Linked DNA regions of Struthio camelus. The protein of the gene in region 2 interacts with the protein of the main gene of each other region in a biochemical or structural test. Links are inferred from orthologs where the notes say so. Each region holds a gene or a part of one and is shown on either strand. Other genes may lie near its edges.

What was found.
Region 1: the proteins of UBR5 (region 2) and PCK1 form a complex in vitro, tested with the Homo sapiens proteins (2 studies listed by BioGRID, with this or other methods). The link is inferred for Struthio camelus from reciprocal best matches to the Homo sapiens genes UBR5 and PCK1.

Annotation. Positions count from the first base shown.
Region 1 is NC_090959.1:12,995,166-13,003,034, forward strand, and holds the start of PCK1 (phosphoenolpyruvate carboxykinase, cytosolic [GTP]), read left to right. Parts: upstream 1-4,818; 5' UTR 4,819-5,333; intron 5,334-5,526; 5' UTR 5,527-5,578; coding exon 5,579-5,802; intron 5,803-7,200; coding exon 7,201-7,382; intron 7,383-7,869. UniProt on the Homo sapiens protein: Cytosolic phosphoenolpyruvate carboxykinase that catalyzes the reversible decarboxylation and phosphorylation of oxaloacetate (OAA) and acts as the rate-limiting enzyme in gluconeogenesis.
Region 2 is NC_090943.1:145,520,632-145,528,164, forward strand, and holds the start of UBR5 (E3 ubiquitin-protein ligase UBR5), read left to right. Parts: upstream 1-4,523; 5' UTR 4,524-4,633; coding exon 4,634-4,695; intron 4,696-7,533. UniProt on the Homo sapiens protein: E3 ubiquitin-protein ligase involved in different protein quality control pathways in the cytoplasm and nucleus. Mainly acts as a ubiquitin chain elongator that extends pre-ubiquitinated substrates.

The sequences.
Region 1 (7,869 bases), on a different chromosome or scaffold from region 2:
GAACAGAGCAGATGCTGCATAGGTGAAGGGAAACACACAACCTTATGCTGACTATTTTCCACTCTGTTTAGTACAGTTTGTCCCCTTCTCTCCTGGCTGCGGTTCTGCTGTGCATCCAGCCAAAAAATGTATTAACCATGCAAAAATCATACTTATGCTCTTATCAACCTTGTGCTGGCTAGGATAAAGCCAGTCACACTCTTCTTGGGCCCAAACTCTCCATGGGCCTATCAGATCCTCCATAGTAGATTAGGAGAGCTCCTAAACTCACACTTCAGAGGGTTACTAGTACATGACTACTCTTCAGGTAGCAGTGGCTACAGATCCCATTACCCATATATTCACACTGATGCCTGCTGTGGGTGTTACGTAAGGGAGAAGAGTTCTCAGATTAGAGTCACAGGTGGAGAAGGGTGCTCCAAAAGTGACTACTCATTAGCTTTAAGATGATGTGAATCAACCGCATCTCCAGAACTAATAAGGTGGTGAGAGAGAAGGATGAACAATGAGTAACATGCTGCTCAGAACCACTACATGAACCAAGACCACTAATGGGGACCGCTTGCCTTGCTTCCTCACTCTGGAAATTCTCTGAGCATGCGGTGCTGTCTCCCACATGAGATCCAGGTGTAAAATCAGAGTGTGAGGCTAAATGTCTATAAACCCTCAAGCTGCTGGAAGGATCTTCTGTCTCAGGACTGGATTATGGCCTGGGTCTGTGCTATCTTGTCACACTGACAACCCATCTCAGCAACACACATTAAAAGGTGGAAAAGTGGAATTAAAACCACAGCATCCTTTACAGACAGTCAGTATATGAGCCACAGTACCACCCTACCCACAGCTCCAGTTTTCATGCCTTACAAAAGAAAACAGAAAAGAGAAAACCTTCACCCCCGCTTGGTGAGTATAACCATATCTCAGAGCCTGTAAAAGTCAGCTTGTAAGGAAAAGTCCCAGAGTACATAGTTCCCTTGCCAAAGCAGAGGAATGACAAGCAAGAAAGCCATCTGCCTGTGGCATAATGTCAGTCTTGGCATCATGTACTGTGTGGCACAACAAGGACTTCCCCTAAAGCACAGCTCAGGGTTGAGCCCTCGAGGTGCTACTAAGCATCCAAGGTTCATGACTTTGATTAGAAAACAGGAGCAGGTACTAACGCATGGCGATTTACTTCCATTACTTTTGAGAAATTTCCATGTGTCTGTTGTCAAAATAAAAATGCTGGAATGGCTAGTGAAAGTGGCACACAATCAGGGGAAAAAGTATCAGGCTTATCCGTTGCCACTTCTCTGCAAACAGAACAAGCCACCTAACTTTGGAGACAGACAAAAAAGTTATACTGCCATGGCAATCCACCGACGTATTAAGATTAACTTGCCTAGAGACAAGTAATGGTGCATCAGTTATGACTGGAGAGGGGGAGGTAAGACAGGAAACACTGTACTCACAGTATGCTGCTCTCTATCCTTGCTGGTCCCAGAGGCTCAGTTTCACCTTTCACACAGCACAGCCCACAGGGAAAGGAACATGCGGCCCCTCTGGCCAGATCCTCCACCAAATCTAATGCAGCTGTGTCAGGTGCTGAAGAACCAGCCGAAATAAATGTAGTTGTGAGGAGGAAATATCACAGAGGAGTGTGGGGAGTTTGGAATAAACATTGGCTCTGTTGCAGAGTCTTTTGCAATTGAAGGCAAGTTGTGTAGTTCAGGTTTTCTTTGGTAAAATTCAGGGAATATTCCCTGATGTAGTCTCTGTAAGCTGTCCCTTTAGCTGGGCAAGAACTGCCCTTGGATCTGGGTTTCTGCAGCATCTAATACAGTGACAACTGCAGTATGTTCAATGTCCACTGAGCACAGCATCATAGAAGAAAAAAACAATTAAGAAAATGTTCTCGAGTTAGCAGCATAGCCCAGAGAATCTTTTAAAACAATCCTATCCTTTTATAACAAAACAACAGGTATCACATAAAAACTTGTTGTGAAGTGACGATGATTATCTAGGATGATTAGCAATGGGTGGGGGTTAATGTTTCTATTATATGCCATTAACAATTTTCAAATCTCACTGAGTGCTTTATTGCACCTCTGTGTAGCGATGAAGTCTAAAACTTTCTCGTGACACTCTCTGAGCACCTAAAGAACCTTCACATTTGCTGCTCTGAGTTCTAGTAAGTCAGTCTAAATTGAAGTGCTCAAAACCTTTATTTTGAGCAGCCTGAATGGTGTCCATCAAAGCAAACATCCTAAAAACACATCTTTCAAGATACTTATTGAACACGATCATCTAGAAATGCCAGATTCACACTTATTTAAATAGTTTGACAGCTTCCCAAGAAGACACCTGATGAGCATCACTTTCAAGTGTCAAAAAAGTACAGAGGAAAGGTGCCAAAAAAGTTTAAACCAAAGGAGTCATGCCAGCTAGTAGATGAGAGGTATTATAATACATTTACTGCTAAAAAAAAAAAAATAAAGATTTTTCATTTAAATGGAAAAAAAACTTTACATTACAGACAATTTTTTGAAAAAAACCATTACATCTCCCCACATCCCATATTTCTCACTAGCGAAATTTCCCAGCTTACTAAATCCAAAAAACAGGTGCATATATTGCATACAGCAGCACACACTGGTGTTGGGTGAGCACCTCAAAACCATTACAGCTGAACTGGAGATGCAACTTGCATTTTTTGTGGGAGCCACTGGGAGTTATGAGAATTTACAATCACTTCAGATTCAACCTTTAACACCTCATGTTGCTTATCTAAAAGTTGAATCGCCCAAATGAGAAGGTTCTTGGAAAAATCTTGACCCTAACCTGTATATGCTCCAATTATTCCATTGTTCCACAGTACAAAGTACTATGCATGTTTTATATAGGGACTTGAGGCTCACTGAGTGTTTGTAATATGCTTTGAGATCCTCTGATGAGAGGTGTTACCTAAATAAAAGTAATTTGATGCTTAAGTGTCTAGAATTCCCAGTGGACATCTGCACTCAAGCCCTGCTGCCATCACAAATGAAAAACATTTGGAATCCTTAACGTGATTTTTAATGGACATATGTTCATAACACAGTGCCACCAATTTGGCATATTTAGTGTCTTCTCAAGAGAAGCCCACAGTTTGTATAGCAAGATTGTGGGAGGTTAGGATTGCAGTGTGAGAAAATTTGCACAACACCTGCCTGACTATAATTTAATTGGCAGAAACTAATGCTCTGGGTTGGGGATTTTTTTCCCTGTACTCAAAACTGAAGAGACACTAGGACTAATCCCGCTCTGTTACACTGTCAATTTTAAGCTTTTGTTCTGGCTTTACTCGTGGTGCACTAAGATCATTTTCAAGCCTACCGTCTTTCTTTCTACAAACTGTTTTACTCTTTGTTATTTGTGTGTATAATGACTTTTATTTGGCCACCGCCAAGCACTCTGAGTATTTTTGTTCTTCACTGAAATATCAGTGTGCTTAGTATTGTTGAAGATTATATTGCATTTTTTTAAGGAAGTATTTAATCATATATTTTAATAAGAAAATGGATGGCCAAAATATTTCCGATCAGCTCTACTTGTGACACAGTACGCAGACCCAAACCATAAACACCACCGCTGTCATTATTAAGCTGTCTTTGACTTTACCTTTCCTTGCCACCAAGCCCCTTCTGGAGCAATCTTTAGCACCTCTTATCCTACCAGATTTTTTTTATTTTTTTGCAGGAGTGTTTGGCCTTGCTGTGCATCAAGGACAGCCCCTGTTACTTCACTATTTTCTTTGCTTTGCTTTTACAAAACATAATAAAAGGCTTTACAGGAAAGATAGGAGGATACAATCCCAGGGAAGCGTTCCTGTAGTCACCGGCCACTTCACTTGAGTCTTCAACTCCATGGTGTTTTACATACGAAAGCTGCCAGCCTGGCAGGAGTCCTGATTCATGCTACTCTGCCAAGCCTGGCCATTCAGGGCTTGCAAGCCAGTGCTGTCTGTATCAATGAAAGCCCTCTAGAAAAGTATTATTGACTGGCATGAACCTGGGTGGGTGGCCGGTTGTGAACCTCTTTTATGTAGTACACTCACATCAATTTTGTTGCTTTAAAGAAGTCCCTCAACCTTGGTTTAGATTGCCAGATTGCCTGTTGTGCAAACTGTTGTCAATCATGTATTTATTATACCTGGGGTGGAAGCCCCGTTGGCATCAATACTTGCAAGAGTTTGACATGAAGGATCACGTCACCCAGTCCTCAGACACTTTACTGGGACTGGGTGTAAATGGAGTGAGATGAAAAGGCAGCAGATCTTATTTCTTCACTTTTCTTTGTCTGTAAGTATCTACACAATCATGGTAAGACATGTATGTAAATATGTATATGCATATGTATATATAGCGTACTTTATACCTACACATGATGCAAGTATGCAGTCACATTCCTGAGCAGTTTTGTGCCTTGTCTTTGGGTACTAATTTAAAGATGGGTTAATATTTCATGCCCCCCCTAAACCCCCAGTAAGTTTACAAATAAGATCATAGGGAGGGGTTTGATCACTGAGACAATTGCTGACCTGCCTCTTCTTTGCGCTTGTCATAATGGAAAATAACTGTTCAGCTAAAGTGAGCCATAATCAAAAGCTTTTTCTCTCCAGCACTATAGGAAACCCAACGCTGAGATTTGCATTGCTTGTATTTTTAGAATTGCATGGACAAAAATAAGGTTGTAGGCATATATAGTGGGTACTCAGGCCTGTCACTGGTGACTGCTGAACTTCATCCCTAGATCAGGCAATGTTCCCAAGGTAAGTAAGCACACCTTGGACCAGCCTCCACTTCACAGCCAACTAGCAAGTAGCTGCTTACAGAACGCACCAACTGTGCTTTGCCTGGCTGACCCCCCGTTCCCTGTTCCAGATACTCTTTGTACTCGACCTTTCCCACACACCAAGAAATTATGATGCTTTGGGTTTCAAAGCTGAACTAGATCAAAGTTTGGACAAACGGATAAATTTTCTAACTGCTTCAGACAGCAAACGAGGGTCTAAGAATCACTGCTTTCAGCATTCATTAATCAAACCTGTTAAATGATTACCTCTTCAGGGCTGTTTTGTTGACAACTCTTCATGATGGCAATGTGTCAGTGGCAGTGTCCCAAGGCGCATTCAGTGGTGACATCAAGGACAAGCCTCCCTCACCTCACCTAGTGGGCTGGGCACTTCCACGAAGACTATTTAAGAAAGGAGAATGCCTCCTTTGAAACCAATGATCACAAGAGTATTCCAAAGCAAGGGAAATCGGATCAACTGAAAGGCACAGCAAAATCCTCTCTGAGATCTTTTAAAGAAAGTAAGTAGAATGGTGTCTATGTATTTTTTCCAGCTTTAAATTACCAACAATCTGAGTTCTTTATATTGATTTATAAGTAGAAGTACACAATCAAATCTTCTACAAATTCTACCTTTCTATTATGCATTGTAGGAAAGCAGAGTTATGCCGGTTAGAATGACATAACATGCTAACAGACAACATTTAATTTTAGCTTGTGATCAGCATTTCAAACCCGTCATCCAGATCCACTGCAGGCTACGGTAATGCCCCCACAGTTGAAGACCGAGCTAAACATCATCCCCAAGGTTATCCAGGGGGATTTGCAGAGCCTGCCTCCAGAAGTGAGAGAGTTCATTGAAAGCAATGCCAAGCTGTGCCAGCCTGAGAGCATTCATATCTGTGATGGCTCAGAAGAAGAAAACCAAAAAATTCTGGACATCATGGTAGAACAAGGCATGATTAAGAAGCTGAGCAAGTATGAGAACTGGTGAGTGGCATAAAAGAAAGTCAAGTAGGAGCTCAGAATAGTGATAAGCATTTTCTATCTGTTTGCATTTAAAAGTGCTCAAAATCCTTTAATATTTACTTTTCACGAGCATTTTGGAACTGTAGCTTACATAGGTTAAATAGGAAGAGCACAATTTTCCTCTCAAAATTAACGTAAACTATATTAATCAATTGGACTACCAACTGTACATTATCTCTATTTATCAGTTACAGAAATTGGAGAACTGAAACAATATCATGAGACTTATGTAACTAATCATTAGCAATGGTTAAATATTTTTTAGCAAATATATCTTTTGAAGAATTCTACTATTTCAGGCAATTAGTTTATTCATCAAATACTTTTCTGTGGCATTCAAATAGCTCTGTGGGTGTTCAAATACTATTCAGCACAGGCATTATTCATATTGTGCCAATGAGTTTTGACTGTAATGTATTCAGCAAATACTTTTTTCAAATATTCCCTCATCTCTCCCAACTAACCCAACATGAAAGGAGAATATTAACAAGTACATGCTTGGGAATTACGTGCTGACCAAGAAATCTTCATGGAAGAAATCTGCAAAGACTTTTGAATAACTCAGAAGTACAAGAATTTGGCAATCTGTTTGCAGACTATTTGAGAGAGAAAAGGGCAAAATTCACCAGATAAATTATTCATTGTTAATTATATGCTTAGCTGTAGTGATGATGGTTATGACAGCCCAGCTAGAACATTTTTATCCTCATAGAAAATTTCTAGGCACAGAGGTGAAAATGGTAAAGCAATCCTCTCTATTGTAAATAAATGGCAAATAAATTATTTGAAGGAGGAAAAAATAATCCTGTCTAATCAGCCAGCTTTATTTTTTATGATCATGGTAATACTCAATATTTCTTTTGCAATGCCTTTAACTTAAATGACAGTGCCAATCCACTAGGCTGGATTCTGGTCCCGCAGACATATATGTGAACATTTAAAGTACTTGCTTGGAATACATTTTGCTCAAGACATCATCACTTTGTGGTCCCTATGTAAAACTATTTTTACTTATCTGTACCAATAAGAATGAGAATTAAATGAGTTTAACTTTTCCCTGCAAACTAGCAACAGGGAATAAAGCTGATGTAAGAGGCAGAAGAGTATTAAGGAGTAATGAGAATTTCCCAAGCCATATAATTCACTATTCATTCTGCAATGTCCTGAGATACTTTGTTTGAGAGAACGAATTTGACTAATCTTTGAGGCTGTCTCAGTTGCATTGATTTTGTCACTTAAGTTCTACCCTTTCAAAACGTTTTACCCTTTTGTGCTATAGGGGTCCTACAGAAGGGTTTAAAAAGTTATATATTTTTTAAATGATTAAAGTCTAATTTCATCATTTTTGGTGAAATACAGCTGGTTGGCTCTCACTGATCCAAGAGATGTGGCAAGAATTGAGAGCAAAACTGTCATTATCACTCCAGAACAGAGAGATACCACTCCAATCCCTAAAAACGGAACTAGCCAGCTGGGCCGCTGGATGTCAGAAGACGATTTTGAGAAAGCCTTCAATACCAGATTCCCGGGCTGCATGCAAGGTCGGTGAGAAAAGGAAAGCTGACATTGCACTTTTAGAGTTACAGAAACAGTACTACTAATACTTATGATAATCCTTAATTTAAAATATTTTAGCTGAAGGTTTAGGTAGGTACTCCTGATATAAGTCACTTTGTAGGTTTCATCTGGATCTTTACAATAGATCCAAAGGTCTGCACATGCATTGTCCTCAATCTTTCTCCAGTAAACAATTCATTCTTCTTTTCATAAAGAGGGGCAAAGCAAGGTAGGAAAAGTTGGGTGACTTTTGAAGGAGTCATAGAGCAACTGAGCAGCAGAGAAGAAATTCAAGTAAGAATGGAAGACTCCCACCCCCAGCACAAATTTCTTCAGTAAAAGAACCAATAGTTTACGTGAATAGAGCACTTGGCCTCCACCCACTTTTACTACTGGCTAGAGAATTTGTCTGAAGAGCTGCATTCAGCATTTAAGATAAAACTTACTGCTCCATGATTAGACAAACAGAAA
Region 2 (7,533 bases):
GAGATTATAAGCATTTAATAGATGGCATCGCTTGGCATCAAGTTTCAGCTATCATAAATCAGCAACGTATTAAAAAATCAGTCTATTACAATCCAAGACATGAACATGACAAAACATAATCCAAGACAGCAGAAAGCAAACTGCAGGCAGTGCAGTCCTCCTCAGTTGGAATTCTTTGCTTTCTAGTGTTAACTTGTAAACTATGCAGGTCATAGAAGTGTTACAAAACACACAGATGCGTTTTAAAAGCCTGATGTTCCCAGCCCCAGACAAATTACTCTTATGCTATACCTGAATAGAGGGAGACTAGGAGGTAGTAAGGAACTTGCTTTTCTTTCGCTTGGGGCACAAGGTGCTGGAAAGAGAATTTTTTTCTTTGAGGTGTACTTTGTTGATCAATATACAAACTTGTTTGGTCCTGCGAATAATTCAGAAGCTACAGTTTCCTACGCAGCATTTTTGTTGACGTTTTGAGGAATGCTGGCCTCGTTTCTTCCACAGCAAAATATCATCTTATCCTGCCAGTCTGTGATGTCATCTGTGTTGACATATGAAGTTAACAGCCTGGAAAATGCACGAGGCATCCTTAGATGCCTGATACGGTATTTCTAAGCCTGAAGCCTTGCCTCAAAAGCTCAGGGCCTCTACCCCAACTTTAGCGTGCTGCATCAGCCATAGCCACACTGCCTGTGGCACATTTGTCAGCATGTGCTTGCACTGCTTCCAGTGCAAACACCCTGCAGTCTTTCTACGATAATCCTCCCATCTCTACCAGGTCCCCTTTAGGACTAACGGACAATGGAAAGCAATGCAAACCATCTAGCCTGCAGCTGTTGTTCAGCAAGCTGCCTGGGAATAAGTCTCACTTGTTGTATATTTTTCGAAAGGTATTTCTGAAGGAAAAGTTCCTGAACAATCTGGTCTAATTGGACCTGCTTGGAGCAGAAGTCTGGACTAGATAAACGCCAGAAGCCCCTTCCAAACTGCATGAGTCTAAAAAGTTAGGAAAATGTTGACATTTATCAAAACTCAACTTCTGACATGATAGCAACAAAGCCACAGGAGTTATCTGATACGGTATTTCTAAGCTGGCAAAAGTTCTAGCAGAGACAAGTATACCAGCAAGAAACTTGTTCTGCTGGTTGGGTGTTGGTATATTTATAGTTGCACCTTAACAAGAAAGCTTCTTCTTTATCAGTAGGCCTGAAAATAGCAACTTTTTATACACAGAGGAATGCAGCAACATAAGGAACTAAATTTCTTAGGCCAAGACACAAGTCCCGTCTTAAAAGCACATGTTGAAAAGAAATAAAATTAGTTGTGTTCTTGAATTTTTACATGACTTAGTAAATGCAAATTTTTAAAGGCCATTTCATTACTGGATGCTGTCATTAGGAAAAGTCTTTTATTTTGAAGTTTCTAAGAAATAAAAACTTTAAGAATAAGCAGATCTTTGATTAGAAAGCAATTCTGTTAGGATGCATTTCAGATGAATCAAGGGACCATCAAATTCCATTGTCTATGTCATTTTCTTCTCAGAAAAACATCAAAGGACAACAAAGGAACTCAATGTATTATCATTTACTGGTACTCTAGAACTGATCTAGTATGATGTGGTCTTACAGCCTAATTAGGCAAGTATGGGCTACTTCCAATAGCACGTTGGAACTTTGATCGTGTTCCAAATTCCTGTCAGAATAAAATAGTCAGCTAAACATTAAATGTCCTCTCACCTACACCTAGCATTAGCTTCCATTCTGCACAGCAGTATAAACTCTTAGGTGTGAACAATGAAAGCTGAGATTTGCACCACCAAAGTTTATTCTGGCTCCAAGCATATGTTCCCGTGGAATCAATTTTTTTCCCTTTCTGCTTATGCTGAGTGTTTGCACTGGCACAGGCATAGGCAATGGACAGAACTGGGGTTCAGTCATAATGTAAATAAAGCTAGAGAAAATCATCACTCAGACATGCCTCAGTAGACTGCTGAGCCCTAACAGACATCTGCTCTCTTTGGGCTTTTCAAGCTGTTTTCCTGTCTTTTATCTAATAAGTTTCCACAACCCATTAACTTTTAAAACTTGCAGGTAACAGGTGGAAGAAAGAAAGAAACTGGTATCTCATCATTATGCCTAGCCCTTAACAGAATTCCACAAATTATGCTATTCCGAAGTGTAAATGCTTTGAAGAACTAGGTTGTAATCTTCAGAGCATACATAAATATCTGGAGCTTCCCAAACCCTACTAAAAATACCTGAAAGCATCCCTAAAAGATGCAGCAAGATCCACTGAAGGACTTCATGAAGTCCTTCCTACAGTTCACTGGAATAGAGAAATGACTGCCACAAAGGCAGATACTCATTGTGTAGGGGGGAAGGGAGGGGAAGAGAAATCAAACTGAGATGCAAGGTTTATCAATTGATTATCAGAACATGCAGGTCATTCTGATACAATGACTGAGGCCAAGACAACTTAGAGGAACTTCCCACTGCAGTAAACAATATAGACGTTTTCAGGGAAAATAAAAGCTGATGTTAAAAAATAACCAACCAAAAAGAACCCCCCCCCCCCGAGCAAAACTATCAAACTTCAATCAAGTGCAGAACTAAGGCATCCAAAAAACTATTAATTCTCACTTAACAGAAAAGAGGCAAAACAGCTACCCACTTAAAGTAGGACCCTTTGTTTTTAAAATACAGCTACGGCGCAGTGTCACTACAGAACAGAATTAATACTATTTTGACACCTTGCATATTTCCAGAAATGAGGATTTTTTTACAGTGTAAGCTAAATTACCTAAATTACATATCTGTACTCTCAAACCTATTTGACTGTCACTTCTGCCTGAGAACAGAACATGCTGAGAAATAGCGTCTGAGAATAGGAAATCTGGAACCTGTCCATTTAATACATTTTTTGTTCTCTTTACCACACTTCATCATTAATGATAATTGTATTGAAAAAACCTTCACAAGCTCCCCATGTCTTTGGGCTGCAAACAGCTATTTTAGTTCATTCTTGGATTAGCTCATTTCAGCTGTGCTGGGGAAAGAGCCAGGGAAGAAAGGGGAACGGGTGATGGCAAATGTCAAAGTGACATGCACTCCTCAGATTTGAGAGGGGAAGAGCAAGCTGAGATTTCTAGGGATTATGACTGCATAGGCCCAAAAAAACCCTATATCTCAGTGAACCAAGTTTCAAATTTTTTTGTAGAGTGGCAAGCATTCTGCACATGCTAAAAAATTCCAAGTCAGTTTTCTAAAATTCTGATTTCCTGCAAATAAACAGAATGAGCTGCAAAGACAGTAAAATCCAGTCAAAGCCAACGTTTAGTACAATCCCAGCCAAGGTGTTGGTTTCTGTAGAAACCAACGAATGTTTTGACTTTGTTACTCGACTTTCTGTAAATTTAGATATTAATTTCTTAAAAACCATCCCTTTTGCAAAGTATGTTCCCTTCCAAAAGCATGATAAAATCCCTTCCAGGAGCACAGTGCGCAGCCACTAAGGCACAAAGTGCTCCATGGTGTTTCAGGGATAACTTTCTACGCTGATATAGCACAAATCTGCCTGGAAAAGGGTGGAAAATTTTGGCTATTAGAGAGAAGACTGACTGTGCGACCGGCTAGTCATAGCCAGGAACTGAAAACCAGCCTCCTAACTTTGGGAAAGCAGATAACGAAGGGCAGCTAGTTCGAAAATCCCCTCTGAGGTCACCCGCGCCACAAGGAGGGCCTGAGGAGGCGAAAACCCACTGACACGCCTCGTTCGCCAGGCCCGCAGCAAAGCGTGGCGAGGCGCGGCTCCGCCCACCCGCTCTGCCTCTCTTCTCCGTTAAGCCGACGGGCAAACGGCAGCTCCGGCCAGCCCGGCCCTGGCGAGCGGAGTGGCGGCGCGGCGCGGCCGGCTCCGCCCGCCCACCCGCGGTGGCAGGCGCCCAGCCGGGGCCGCTCGCCGCCTCCCGCAGCGGAGGGGAGCGGGGCGGAGCCGCCCGCCCCCGGCGCGGCCCGCTCGGCCGCAGGGGCCGCCACAGGCCCGGCCCGGCCCGCGCCTCAGGGAGCCGCGCGCGCGCCGCCGCTGCCGCCGCCCCGCCCCCGCCGCACGCGCGCGCACGCCACCGCCAGCGGCGGCGGCCAAGGGGAGCGCCGGGGAGTTGCTCTCGGGAGCACGTGGTCTTTCACGTCCCTCGCGCATGACGTCACCGCGCTTTGCGAGACCTCCCGTCCATCCCGCCAATCCGCCGCCCGCTTAGTGGAGGGGCGCTGCCCGGCGGCGAGCGCACCACTCAGCGCGCGGCTTGCATAGCGGCCGGCCGGCCGCCGCCCCGCCTTTCCCCGGCGCGGCGCAAGGAGGGAGGGAGAAGGGCCCGCTGGAAGTTAAGATGGCGGCGCGTGTGTGAGTGCGGTGCGGGCTGAGCCTCTTCCCGGCACTCCGCTGCGGGCTCCCTCGTCCCCCGCGCCCCGCGTCGCGGCGGGCGAGCCAAGGACTCCGCCGGCGGCCCCGAGCGCCCCCGGGGGAGGGAAAGACGCCGAGCGCCCCCCTCCCCCCGCCGCCCCCCCCGCCCCCATTGTGTGCCCGGCGCCTGCCCGCCTGCCTCCCTCCGCCGGGGGGGGCAGCGGCGGCGGCGCGGAACATGACCTCGATCCACTTCGTGGTGCACCCGCTCCCGGGCACCGAGGACCAGCTCAATGACCGGTGAGGGGCAGGCCGGTGCGGCGGGGGGCGGAGGGGAGGGGCCGGCCTGGCGCAGCTCGGCCCCCGTGGGTGAGGGGAGGGGCCGGCGGCGGCGGCCGGAGCGCGGCGCGCCGAGGGCGCCCTGGGGCAGGGGCAGCGGCGGCGCCGGGCCGCGGGGGGGCGGCCCCGGTGTCGTCGTCGTCCTCTCCCCCCCCCCCCCCCGTCGCCCCCGCGCCGGGCGCTCCCGGCGCCTTCCCCGCGCGGGGCCGCGGCCGTCCTCTCGCTGCGGCCGCGCCGGCGCCGTCAACTTTGCCCCCCGCGGGAGAGGGGGTGGCGGGCCGCGACCTCCGCCGTGGGCCCGCGGCGGGGCCTCGGCTCCGCGTGCCCCGTGCCGATGTCCGCCCCAGGAAGGAGGTTATCGTGGCTCCCGGGCCGAGCGCGAGGAGGAGCGAGAATGTGTCCATTTTAATCAGAGATGAATCGAGGCAGACAATGCAGATGGGAGACCGCGGTGTGTGTGTGCGAGTGGGGAGGGGAGGATAATAGAGACGTGCATGAAGGATGTAACGCGTATGCACGCTTGGAGTCTGCTTTATGTTCCTCTTTATTTATTATTGCGGGTTATTTAAACAAGAAGGGTGGCCTGATCTTCAGATCGCTGGTTGTATGCGGCTTGGCTCAGCTTGGTATGACAGATAGAACAGAAGCACAGTGTTTTTTGGAAATCTCATAGCTAACTTTATTTTGGTTTATGGGAGAGAAATTGCAGGCTGGGAGAAAATAAAATACTTGGGAGAAAATTAAATCTATTACCTAAGTAGATTTCATTGCTGGATCTGTGTTTTACAGCCTTCTGTGTGGCTGTCAAATATTTCTTCTGTAGCAATTACTAATTGTATATGTTATAGTTAGTAAATTTCACTTGTGCCTGGTTATACGTAAATCCTTAAGAAATATGTAACTTTGCACTTTGAATTTCTTATGAATTTATGTATGAGCAAATCAAAATCTTTAATCAACACTGGATAGAAACCTAAGTATTTTTTACACTATAGCTAAATACTATTTAATATTTATCAGTGCATGTAAGTTTTTATAAATATACGTACGCTTGATTATATTTTTGTCTTCCTGGATTTTACTAAGTTTGAGACTAGATCACGGTCCATCTCACTCCACTGTTGGTAGTTTAGGCTAGGAAAAGTGATCTGTCTTTCCCGAGATGGCTCTTGTTAAAACACAGCTGAAGTTCAAGGGCTTATGAGGAGGAAAATAGGTCATTGTAAAGATAAATTTCTCCCAAACTGCATCATCCCTGTCCTTAAGCAGGGAGAAGATATTTCTAATGATAAAATAGGTCTGTGACCCAAAGCATGTTAATGTGGAGTGCATTTTTTTTTTTTTTCCCTTACCTGGATAGTACATTTTACAGGACTCGTTCTTCATGTGCCTCCTAGGAGGAGGCCTAACCTTTCCTAAGGGATTGATTGGCTTTCTCCACAGTCGTGCATTCAAAGTTGACCTACAGCTTCTTTCTTTAGAGTGACAAACTGTGAGAGGTAATGCTGTACTAGGAGTGCTTCTGCTTCTTCATCCTACTATTTTGATTTAGGGTAAGATCTAGGACTTTGATCTTGAAAGGACCTCAGTGATTTTTCTTTTTCATTTTTTTTAACGTTGATAGGCCCTTAGAAAACATTTAGCATGTAATTATCACACTTAGCTCAGAATGAAAGAGCTCATCTGATATTCTTTTAGTATGTCACCTGTTTTGTTGACTTATTGATGTTAAATACGATGTCGCTTCAGTCCTCATAATGCTTTTTTTTTTTAACCACAGCAGCAGCTCTTACAACTTTTATTTGATACAGGAAGCTTCATAAAATGTGGTAATTAATATATGGAGGAAGCTACAGAAGTGCTATTAAGTACTGACTTATTCTGAAAAATCAAGTGGCTCCTTGATCTGAGCTGCAAATCATAAATTTCCACTTCAGAAACATAATTTGACTAGAAATGTGGTAGCTATGTATCAGAACTTGTAATGCAGTGAAATCAGAATGATTCATAAATAGGACTGAGGCACATATGTATGTGCTGGAACTGGCAGTTCAATTTTATCAGTAGCATTGCTGCTAATTACTATTCTGTCAATATGTATCAGGATAGCCTAATAAATTTTCATATACGTGTACATGGAAGTTAGGATCTTGGAGCATCTCATGCATCTGCTGTGTTTCTTCCCTTTCTCACCCTTTAAAGGCTTTTTTGCATCTGTGCTACAAACAGCAGTCGGTAGCCCAAGTTATTTTTTTTCCCCATCTCCATTCTGAATGATAATTGCATCTCAATAATCAAAATTTCTCAATTTTTGGGACTATAATTCTGTGTTGCATACTTTCATTAGTAATGTACATAGCACGTGATAAACTGTATTACTTTCATGAGCACAGTTCATGAGTAGCTAGATGTTCTGCATGTAAGGAACAGTCACATTTTAAAACAATGCATTTATCAGTGTAGCCCCCATGCATTCAGGATACTTGAGTTTTGGATTTTTATAATAAAAGTATTTGATATGTCTGCACAGGTTATTAAGCATAGTGTATGAAAGGGGTGAAGTGATTTAGAAACCATCCTTCTCTTAAAGTAGATTGTATGTCTACTGCAGAATGTAACTGTAGAACCACAAATGATTGGGAATAGTCCTGACAACATGCACACATGATCTGAAAGTACTTTTTACCGAGTTTTTTTTTTTTTTTTTTTTAGATACTTATGTTGTACCTTGATGGTAGGTACTAGACCTCTCTCAAATAAACTGACACAACATTAGCTTGTCCGTGACACTCATTTAGA